3 linked regions of the Xenopus tropicalis genome follow. The protein of the gene in region 2 purifies or fractionates together with the protein of the main gene of each other region. This does not show direct contact. Links are inferred from orthologs where the notes say so. Each region holds a gene or a part of one and is shown on either strand. Other genes may lie near its edges. The genes, in order: ddx17, ewsr1 and dhx9.

Region 1 (3,873 bases), on a different chromosome or scaffold from region 2:
AGGACCACCTTTCTAGAAGGGAGATCACACAGATGCTTCCCACTATGCCATCTGCTGGGCAACTGTTGGGAAGTCTTTTGGCTGTCAAAGCAGAAGAATAGCCCTTCTGCCCTTCTTCAGACCTTTTGTGGCTACTTCCTAAACTGTTTAGTTCCTCCTTTCTCCCTGCCTGCACATGCAGGATGTGGCAGTGTGCGTGACTTCCCATTCTGTCATGGAGAACATAAGAAAGTGAGCGCCCTAGAAACCTGTCATTTCCTTTTAACACACTAAACTAATGGACAGAGCAAAAATTTAATTTGTTCATCCTATTGGTTTCAAAGTTATTCTTCCCTCCTAAATAGTGGAACTTTGTTCTCCCATTTTTTCCTTTTTTTAAATTAATATTATGCTGTAAATTAGCCAAACCTGCAGTTCTTGTGAGTGACCTTTCTGTAATAAGAAACAGACATTTATCCAAACTTCCCTTTTGGTAAAATCTGATAATTAGCAGCTTTGTCCACATCCACCTTTCAAAGATTTTAATAACTTTATTGATGGCAGATGGTGAGTGTTGGAGGATGGGGTCTCTCTTCGCCCATTGACAGGTTCACAAACTTGGACTTGGGAGAAGGGCTCCCCCACAGAAGTATCTCGCTCAACCAGTGCACCTGTTGGGACCTCTTGCTGCGCCTGGACCGTTGATGCATGCTCCCTGCTCCAGTGGCCCCTTATCCAAGGATGAAGGGCGGCGACACCGCCATGAGCCAAAAAGACGGGATTGGCGACTGCTGTTTCCCTACCTCACTGAGGGAGTGTGCATCGGTCCGGACACCAGCTCTTCTGAGGAAGAATCCCACTAAGTTTAATTTAAATTATTTATGGTTTTTAGTGCTTTAATGGTTTTCTCTTTTAGCTTTAGGATTTTAACTGGTTCAGTGTCAGTCATCTCATATCTGATGTGTTCAGTTTGGGCATTATATTAGTTACAGTTTATGGAATAGCTCTCTGAACTATATTGTCAGTGAATTTATCTTCAATGTTTTCTAACATAATTGTGACTGGTAAATAGTATTATGCATCTTTGCATATGAAGCCCTAATCCATCTGAAATGGTCAATATTCTGATTTCTAATTTAAGACTTCAGATAAGAACCAAGATAAAGGCAGCTTTAGCTTTTGGAACAGAAATTACAGGGAATCACAGTTTGCCTAGACACTCTAAGCTTTAGTCACTGAAGTGTAGTAGAAATCAGAAATAGTTTGAGGCAAGATTTTTCTACATTTACTAACTTTAATCTTTGTCACTCTTCTGGCGTGTGTATTTCCTACACGTCAATTTCCCACTCAATTTTTAGATGTGGAGGATATCAAGTTCGTCATTAATTATGACTACCCAAACAGCTCTGAAGACTACGTACATCGCATTGGCCGTACTGCCCGTAGTACTAACAAAGGCACAGCTTACACCTTCTTCACACCTGGTAACCTCAAACAAGCCAGAGAACTGGTAAAAGTTCTAGAAGAAGCAAATCAAACAATCAACCCTAAACTAATGCAGCTGGTGGACCATGGCCGTGGCGGTGGTGGAGGTAGGTCATTGCCCTGAGGTTTGTGTACAGTATATAACTAAATGTGATGGTTGGATTTGAAGTTGTCTTTAAGTAACAAGTGTTAAAAATCTTAACTACTTATTAATTTAAATGTACTCTTCCACCCTGAGTAGCAGAGTGTAAGGGAGGGGTGGCTGGTATAAAGAGCAGTATACAGCTTTCACCTCTGCCTTAGGACAAACGCAGCTCACAATTAAAATCTTAAATTATATTTAGATAACAAGTGTGTGCTGGGACATGCATAAAGCAATATATCAATACAAAGGAGACTACCCAACAATTCTGGGCATGTGTGGCCTGCTTAAAGCAGTTTGGCCTATTTCAACTTTACTGACTGACCATCTAGATGTGTATGTCAGTTGAGGGATGAGCTTTTGACAATCCTGTGATCCTGATGGATGGCAGATGAAATCTGTCCTGAAGATTTAGAGCTAAGCTACACAGGAGATGTAGAATGGTGGCAGGTTGGCTGATTACATCCTTGCATAGGTCAAAATATAATGGGACTGATAACAAAATCTGATGTGTAATGTATATGGCAGATTTGTCATCCGGCAGGGCACTCCACTGCAAGTTGTGTCCGACAAGGTAAAATCTGATAGTGTCTAAAAGACTTTGTTGGTTTTCTTCGTCAATGTAGATGCGTTAACAAAACGCACCATCTTACTTCTGATTTGACTTACATTACAGCAGGAGGGATCAGATTGTGTAGCATCCCACTTTTGCTGATAAACAATGTTGGCAGGTGCATTGGAAGCTGAAGAAAGTTCTTAAACTATTCCTCTTTAGGTCTCTTCTTTCTGTAATGTGTAAACAAATGTATTTCTTTACTGTTTTCCTGTGTTTAAACCATATGTTAAAAACTGCTCTAAATCTCTCTAGGTGGCCGATCCAGATATCGCAGCATTCCCACAAATAACAATCCAAATATGATGTACCAGGAAGAGTGTAACAGAAGAATGCATGGTAAAGATGGAGGAAGACGTGATGGGAGGAACAATAACCGCGATGGTGCTATTTCTAACAATCCAACCGGGCGAGATCAGAACCGGCCAAATTACAGCTACGGTGGCCAGGTTTCCAATTTCCAACCCAACCAATACAGCTACGGACAGGGTGGCTTCACAGGAGTAGCTAACAATTATGGCACAGCAGCATATGCCCAGGCACCGCAGCCACTGATGTCACAGCAGTTTGCCCCACCTAGCTCCTCTGGCCTATTGAACTATATGAACCAGGCAGCCAGTTATCAGTATCCCCCTCCTCCTCCACCACCACCTCCACCTACACGTAAATGAGTTCTTCAGCCTTTTTATCTTTTAGCCTGTGTTACCAGTTGATGTAATACACAATTTCCCTCAGTAAGCTTTATGTTTTGTTGCATTTTGTTTTTCCTTTATCTTGATCACAGCAATGTTTGGGAATTAGACTTTTCCAATCTTTGAAGCTGTTCTTTAAAGTTAGTGTTCAGGATTCTATGTGCTTTGTTCTGGCAGTAGCCTTAAGATGACTTGATGTATTTGCAGGGCTTTTCGGTTTTTTTTTTTTGTTTTTTTTTACCTGTTTTGTTTTTTTTTTTTTTTTTTGCCAGAAAGTTTTGAAAGCTACTGTGGCTGCTTTTTTCCTTTTTTTTATTACTCCTGAGTTATTCCAGGTAGGTAAAATTCCAGACTGTCAAGCATCATTCCTCCCTTATTTCCCTGTCACCAAGACTTTTTTCTCTGTATTTATAATTCCCTTGATTGGTGTATAATCCTCCTTTCTTCTGGGGGTGGGGGACATCTACAGTGTTATGCCTCTCCTAAATACATTGACCCTCCCACTATATAGACACTATTTTGGCATTTTTGTTGCCATGTGTGACAAAGACAAAGGTAGGTTCTTTTAACAAGCATTAATAAGTTCACATTAGTTAGATTTATTTTTCATGGCAGGTTGTCTGTACCTCTCATCTCACTGTTATTTCAGCTTCTGTGTTTTGTGTTATAGTTGCATTTCTCTCAGGTGTAATTTTGTTTTTCAGTTACAGATAATGCCCCATACCTTTAAATAATGTTACCATTCTAGTTTGCTGGAGTGGTTATTACATTTTTAAAATTCATTTCTCTAAATTGTCATGAGAACCATCTGACACCATTTTGTAGATAATAAATTTTTTTTTAAAAAAAAAGTCACCATGTGTACCATTGTTTTATTAGAGTGGTGCTTTTATTGATCTCGCTGTAATATTTAAAGCATAACATTCAAATGTTCTGGCTATCTGTCAACTCTATTCTCACCA
Region 2 (3,654 bases):
CAGGGGGAAGGCAACTCGGGGAGATTAGTCGCCCGCGAACAGGGAGTTTTGCCGCGGGCGACTAATCTCCCCGTGTACCAGAGCCCTGAATGTGCACTGATCCATATAACAAAGGGGGTTATGTAATAAAAGGCACTAAGTTTACCCAGGAGCAGTAACCAATAGCAACCAATCAGCAGGTAGAATTTACTGGTTGCTTGTTTGAAAACACATCTTATTGGTTGCTATAGGTTACTGCTACTGGACAAACTTAGGGGCTGATTTACTTACCCACGAACGGGTCGAATGGAGTCCGATTGCGTTTTTTTCGTAATGATCGGTATTTTGCGATTTTTTCGTATGTTTTGCGATTTTTTTGGATTCTTTACGAATTTTTCGTTACCAATACGATTTTTGCGTAAAAACGCGAGTTTTCCTATCCATTATGAAAGTTGCGTAAAAAGTTCATCATTTTTCGTAGCGTTAAAACTTACGCGAAAAATGTGCAACTTTTCGCGTAAGTTTTAACGATACGAAAAATGATGAACTTTTTACGCAACTTTCGTAATGGATACGAAAAACTCGCGTTTTTACGCAAAAATCGTATTGGTAACGAAAAATTCGTACAGAATCCGAAAAAATCGCAAAACGTACGAAAAATTCGCAAAATGTTCATTTTCAAGTCGGAACTTTTCCAATTCGGGTCGGATTCGTGGGTTAGTAAATCAGCCCCTTAGTGTCTTTTATTACATATGGGGGAAAAAAATGTCGCCTGCATCTATTTACCTTCACATAATGTTTACTGGGGTAGTCCACCTTTAACCTTTAGTCTGTTAATAGCATGGTCTTTTTTTATTTATAGTTTTTGAATTGCTTTCCTCTTGACTCTTTCCAGCTTTCAAATGTACCGACTACAATAGTAAAAAAAAAAAAAAAAATTCAGCCTCTCATTCAAACCACTGCTAGGGTTGCTAGGGTAATTTGGGCCCTCATAACTAGGTAGATGTTGAAAATTTACACTGAAGAATGCTGAGCAAAAAGCTAAATTCAAAAAAATTACCACCAATAGCAAATTCTCAGAAAAGCATTCTCTACAAATTACATAATGTTAAAGGTGAACAACCCCTTAACCTGTGAACCACCAATATAACCGAAGTCTCTTTACATTTTTTTTTTTGTATGTTTTATATACCGTTAGCTTATGTATGCAGCACTGTACAGCAGAACAATAAATTAATAGAACGAGTCATTACAATAATAGATACAAACCACTACAAAGTACAGTTTCATTAAATATTACTCAGTGAAGAGTCCAAGAGAATGGATGTCCCTGCCCTGTAGAGCTTACAATCTAAGTGGGTGGGTAACTTGTAGACCCAAATAGAGGGATATAAAGTGCTGCAGGTTTTAAAGTGAGCGTTAAATATGCTTCACTAGAATGTTTTTACAGGGTTGTTAACCACAACATAACATAAATGCATTGTTATTGATTATTGGGAATGTATAAGGCTGTGTAAGTTGCTTTTTTAACTTAGCTTTATTTTTTCTGTTATAGATTACAGCACCTATAGCCAAACTGGAGCCCAACAAAGGTAATTTGGTTTAGCTATTTGTATATATTATGAACCATGCATTCAGAAGCATTTCTGTGCATTGTTGGCTGAAATCAGGTTGAACAAGGGGCCATTCTGCCACTTGCAACACTACTCTTTATACCACCAACAGTTTATGCTGAACATACTTTTTGTTTTTTTTGTCAAATCTATATTTATTTCATTAGCTAAACAGAGCAATTAAAGCTACTTCGTGGTTGGTCCTTGCAAGATACATCACCAGTATACAACCTCCTCCCTTCCCCCTTTGATGTGACAGTTTTGTTAGCAGAAGTCCAGTGTGTAAGGGGGATTATCTGAGATCTGGTAATCTAATTACCTTGCAAGGCCCAAACATGAAGTTGGCTTTCCTATCTAGCTCAAGAAATATCAAACTGTAGATTTACATTTTGTTATTCTGTGGGATGTTTAGAGTAATTTTAAAGACAGAAAAGAAACGGTTTACTTCTTCTTTGAAGTGCTATTGCAGTGAAATGTCAAAAATAGAATGTAACATGGTAGATCCTTTTCAGTTGATCTCACGTTATAAGGCATGCAATTTTCCTTTATACCAAAAACATGCGCTGGCACTGGTCACAAATGTTATGAGCTGTTAAGCCTAGGTAGGAATAGGAGTGTATTTGTACCTGGCTTGTATAACTTTATTCAGTGCGTTTTTTTTTTTTTTCTTAATGCAGTTACAGTGCATATACTGCACAACCAACTCAAGGCTACGCACAGACTGCACAGGTAATCATGTTATAAAGCATTTTAGTTCATTGTAAGAATGTGCTCTGAATGTACTTGATAAGCTCCATTGCCAACTTTAAAAGCTAATTTTTTTTGTTGAAAAAAAACAAACTTAACAATTCATTTTTGCAGGCAACTTATGGGCAGCAGAGTTATGGCACCTATGCACAGCCCACTGATGCCAGTTACACACAAGCACAGACAACAGCCAGCTATGGCCAGTCTGCCTATGCCACTTCTTATGGACAGCCACCAACAGGTACCGTTAAAGGGCTTGATGTAGCTCTTGCTGAAAATGTTTTATTGTTGAAAGTTGCCATGTTGTACAATCAGTTGATAAAAGCAGGGGCTGCAATTATTGGTGGTTAAATAAATAATTTTTTATTGCAGTGTTAAAGGAACAGTAACATCAAAAAATTACAGTGTTTTAAAGTAATTAAAATATAATGTGCTCTTACTCTGCAAAAAACTGGTGTTTTTGCTACAGAAAAGCTACTATATAAACTAGCTGCTGTGTAGCCATGGGGGCAGCCATTCAAGCTGGAGAAAAGGCACAGGTTACATTGCAGATAACAAATAAACTCTGTAGAATACAATGGCATTTTATCTGTTATCTGCTAAGTAACCTGTGCCTTTTCTCCTTTGAATGACTGCCCCATGGCTACACAGCAGCTTACTTATATAAACCTATAGTAGTCTTTCTGAGGCAAACACACCAGTTGTAGCAATGCAGGATAACAGTACATTATATTGTAATTACTTTTATACACTTTAATTGTTTGGTGTTAGTTCCTTTAAATGCTGCCTTCCTATGTAAGGAGGAGGGTTGGGTATGTAGGGTGTTACTGGTGTAGGGTCTGTTTTAGTCATGCACATCCACTATTTTAGGATCTGGCTGAACCCTGAATCCTTTGCGAAAGACTAGATCGAATACCAATCCAAATCCTATTTTGCATATGCAAATTAGCATAAGGGTTAAAGACAACCACGCAGGAAAAATTAACATTTACGTGTTTATGACAAAAAAAATCATGTGATTTTTAAGGATTCGGGCGAATCCTGCTGAAAAAGACCTAACCCTGGAATCAATGCATCCCTAATCTGTTTTTAAATGATGCTTAGGATAAGGCTCCGCAAAGTGGATTGTCAGCCTGCGTATAAGCGCAAGATGCCAATCCGCCCGTACGCATGAGAAACCTGAATGTGTCTGCACCCGGAAGCATTGCAGGCGCACGTAGCATATATCTGCCAACTAACGCAAGTCTTGGAGTTTACTGGTGAATTCAGTGCTTCTGGGTGCTGGCACAATTAGAAGATTTTTCAAGCATTTGGG
Region 3 (3,654 bases), on a different chromosome or scaffold from region 2:
GCAATACAGGTGTCAGGGAGCTGCAATCTTGCTACCTTCCCATTGTCACTGCCATGGCTGCCTTCCTTGCAATTCCTTCTCTGATACCAGGCATGTGTGCATGCATAGTAAAGGTTAACTTATACATTTTGATTTTACTCTACCACACATGCATTCAGCTGAATGTAGCCAAAAGAGATTGTGCTCCCTCCCTAATATCCCAGGCAAGCGCATTTTATGGCAAAGTAGACCACCAGAAGGTAAGTGACTAGAACCACTGGGATGGGTGCATAACAACTAGATACCCTGCAACAAATCTACCTATCATTGGAGCTGATCTAAAAAAAAAAAAAAGATAAAGAACTTTTGACATAAAGCTATATTAGCCTGTAAACACCTTTATTGTGAAGTTCACAGCAGGTTTTTAGTTTTTTGCAGGCTAATACCATGTTTTGTCTATCTGTGACCAAGTAATTCAAGTACCATTTCAAATGCTTGAGGTGTACATTAAAAAAAGTCTATCCATGCTAGACATAGACTGCGCTAAAAGTAATGATACAAGGTGAAACCATGCCTGTTGCTGCGCAGAGGTGGGGTGGGGCAGCATCAGTGTTTGCGTCACGGGCAGAGAAAGTGCACAGTGTGCCATTAACCTGACAGCCAAATAATCAGTTTTTTTTTTATAAAGGTGCTTTTGGGGAAGGTTTAATGTAACATAAAGCTTTAAGGACTTGTCAACCCGAAAAAAAAAAAATTGCCTAATAAAAGAAAACTTAATTCTAAGCAACTTTGCAATATATATTTATTACATATCTGTAATGGTTTTTTTTTTAGTTATTTGTATAGATAACTGTTACTAAAGTGTCAGGGGAAACATAACTGCTATTAATTCCATTCTGTGCCTTGGGTGCTCTGGCGACTGAAACAATGTAACAAACGCAAGCAGATTTTACAGACCTGCCTTGCTGGAGGAGCCTGGCACTTGTAATAATGTTTCAAAAGTAACAACCAGGAGTTCAGCAAATGCTGCTTTCTATAGCAATTATATTTACAAATAACTTTTAAAGCACTAATATTTTTTAATTAATTGATATTGGAAAGTTTCTTAGAATTATGTTTTCTCTTATTAGGCAAAAAATTATTTTTGGGGTTCACATGTCCTTTAGACTTGTAGTAATAAAACATATACAAAAGTATATAAATATTGATGTGAATTCTTTACACTATATTCCTTATGCAGTAGCATCAGTACGGAGTAAGGCCTCTATAAATACTCTACTATAAGAGTTAACTTCTGCCAATAGATATTAAAGGGACAGCTGGCCTTAAAACTGAAAATCTTTTACAATAAATGTAGACAGAACATTTCTTAAAAAACCTGCAGCAAACAAAGTAGCATATTTCTTGGATATTTTTTTTTCTAATACACTATACTAATATTTCTTAGGATATTGTTGAACAGTGGTAGAGATAAATAATTAACATAGGCATGAGATGGCTACTCAGCCTGAGGGTCCTAAGTGGGAAGGGGAAAATTTAGTCTTTAACTAAAATGTTATAGTTAGATCAACATAGCCAAGCAACCTTTCAATTATTTTTAATGAGTAACTTACATTAATGTCACGCTCATGAATTTCATCCACAATCACATGGCTAATTCCTCTTATCCCAGCCTCCAGTTTCCTCAAAAGGACTCCTGAAAATATTAATAATATTGTCAAGAGAAAAATAAATTAACTGTACAAGGAAAACCATCATTATTAAGCAATACGTACCCACAGTGCAGAAAAGCATACTGGCATGCGGACGGGGAAGAACAGATTCAAAACGCACACTGTAGCCACAGCTTTTTCCAATCTCTTCCCCTCTTTCAAAAGCAACACGTTCTGCAACAGATACTGCACTGATCCTTCTAGGCTATAGAAAAGGAAAAAAGACCTCACTACCCACTGCATCATTTATGTTATTTTATGTTTAAGTAACATAGAATTGATTTCCAGAACTATACCTGTGTAACCACAATATTACACTGCGCTGCACGATCATTGCGAATACATTCATCCAGAATGTATTGTGGGACCTGTGTAGTTTTACCACAGCCTGTTGCTCCACGGATGATTACAACAGGGCTGTTATGCACAGCATGCATTATTTCCTCCTCAAATTTCTTAACAGGAAGAGACTCTCGATCAATCAAGACCTAAAAAGTGAAAGGCAAGAACTCACTGAAAGAATACATATTAAAACACCATTGAATACATTATAGATTACAAATGTTTTTACAGTTCAGTCTTGAGCACTGTAAACATTCAGAAAAAATAGTGGTGCTAGGCTTAGCAAAAGCCACAATTATAAAAACTTTTGCATAGTCTAGAAACTGAATCAACCAACCTGTTTCATGTTAGGATCTTGCATGTGATACATGTGTTCATTCTTTAATTCTGCACTGATCTGCTCCTGGGGAGCCTTTAAAGAAAGTAGATGCCAATGTAACTTTAAAAATTTAACCCAAAAGAAGGCAAATTCAACCATTTTATTTTTCTGAAACTACAAAACTTACAAATGCCAGAGGTCCTTCATCAATGTTGCTGCTTGTCCATGGGTTCCAGTTTTCCTGTGGGGGAGACCATGGCACCACACCAGAGTGACTCTGCTTCTGTGAAGGCTCAAAGTGTACCAGTTTTCCCAAATTAAGGGACACAGGTTGGCTAGGATCCTGGGGCTATTATGGAAAAACACAGCAATTATATTAAAACAAGCAAAAAAGGGAAAGGGGAAAAAAAACGCACACTACAAAACACTTACTGGATATGGTAACTCAATTCCTAGCTCCTGAATAGTACTCTGCAGCTGTTTCACCACATCAGGATTTAAGTTCACTTGATAAGGTTCCACCTGCCAGACAGAAACATTAGTATCATCTTAGTAATAACAGCATTTTTAGAAGCAGCAGCATCTGTTTGTTTCAGAATGTTTTTGGGGTATTCCTAATGAAATTAAGTTAATTATATGAATCACAATTAAGATTACCCACAAACTTTGCATTTGAGACAATTATAATCCAAAGATAACAAAAAACAATATTTACAATGCAGATGGTTATCTACAAGGAACTTACAGCCTCCCCTTCCTTTTTCTTTGTCAGTCCTGAGTATGGTTCAATTACACTTAGATGATACAGCTGACGGACAATTGAAAGGGCACAAGATTGTGCCGCCAATTTCTTATTAGATCCATGTTCTCTTGCCGTGATTCCTGAATATTAAACAAAAGGTTTAGAGAGTACAAAGGTAGATGCCTTCTATACATATGGCATATTTAGTTGGGGAACTTACTTCTTCCAAGCTGCTTAACATACAGGGTCATTTCTGCAATAAAGCTCCTGCCAAAACATTTATTAGAGTGTTAGGAAAGCATGTACAGACCTAAACGTAACACATTTATTCACCTTGTTAGGGAGTCACCGAAAAAGCACAGATAAAGAAGAGTTCCAGCCTAAAACATCATATATTCCATCTCTGGCACACAATGCTGTTTCTTGCTGGCAAAGAAAATGCCAATACACTATTTCCACTGTGTGGCTAGTGATATGAATAGCATCAGCCTGTCACTGTGCAAATGGGAGCTGATTTTTGCAGAAAATGTTCATGTACACAATGACAGGCTGATGCCATT

Evidence for each region.
Region 1: the proteins of ewsr1 (region 2) and ddx17 purify together in Homo sapiens (affinity purification with mass spectrometry; 3 studies listed by BioGRID, with this or other methods). This does not show direct contact. The link is inferred for Xenopus tropicalis from reciprocal best matches to the Homo sapiens genes EWSR1 and DDX17.
Region 3: the proteins of ewsr1 (region 2) and dhx9 purify together in Homo sapiens (affinity purification with mass spectrometry; 3 studies listed by BioGRID, with this or other methods). This does not show direct contact. The link is inferred for Xenopus tropicalis from reciprocal best matches to the Homo sapiens genes EWSR1 and DHX9.

Annotation. Positions count from the first base shown.
Region 1 is NC_030680.2:120,521,878-120,525,750, forward strand, and holds the end of ddx17 (probable ATP-dependent RNA helicase DDX17), read left to right. Parts: intron 1-1,337; coding exon 1,338-1,571; intron 1,572-2,474; coding exon 2,475-2,890; 3' UTR 2,891-3,298; downstream 3,299-3,873. UniProt on the Homo sapiens protein: As an RNA helicase, unwinds RNA and alters RNA structures through ATP binding and hydrolysis.
Region 2 is NC_030677.2:144,953,126-144,956,779, reverse strand, and holds part of ewsr1 (RNA-binding protein EWS), read left to right. Parts: intron 1-1,534; coding exon 1,535-1,571; intron 1,572-2,269; coding exon 2,270-2,321; intron 2,322-2,453; coding exon 2,454-2,580; intron 2,581-3,654. UniProt on the Homo sapiens protein: Binds to ssRNA containing the consensus sequence 5'-AGGUAA-3'. Might normally function as a transcriptional repressor. EWS-fusion-proteins (EFPS) may play a role in the tumorigenic process.
Region 3 is NC_030680.2:100,157,619-100,161,272, forward strand, and holds part of dhx9 (ATP-dependent RNA helicase A), read right to left. Parts: intron 3,362-3,654; coding exon 3,315-3,361; intron 3,235-3,314; coding exon 3,098-3,234; intron 2,875-3,097; coding exon 2,785-2,874; intron 2,702-2,784; coding exon 2,540-2,701; intron 2,446-2,539; coding exon 2,371-2,445; intron 2,180-2,370; coding exon 1,988-2,179; intron 1,897-1,987; coding exon 1,755-1,896; intron 1,676-1,754; coding exon 1,593-1,675; intron 1-1,592. UniProt on the Homo sapiens protein: Multifunctional ATP-dependent nucleic acid helicase that unwinds DNA and RNA in a 3' to 5' direction and that plays important roles in many processes, such as DNA replication, transcriptional activation, post-transcriptional RNA regulation, mRNA translation and RNA-mediated gene silencing.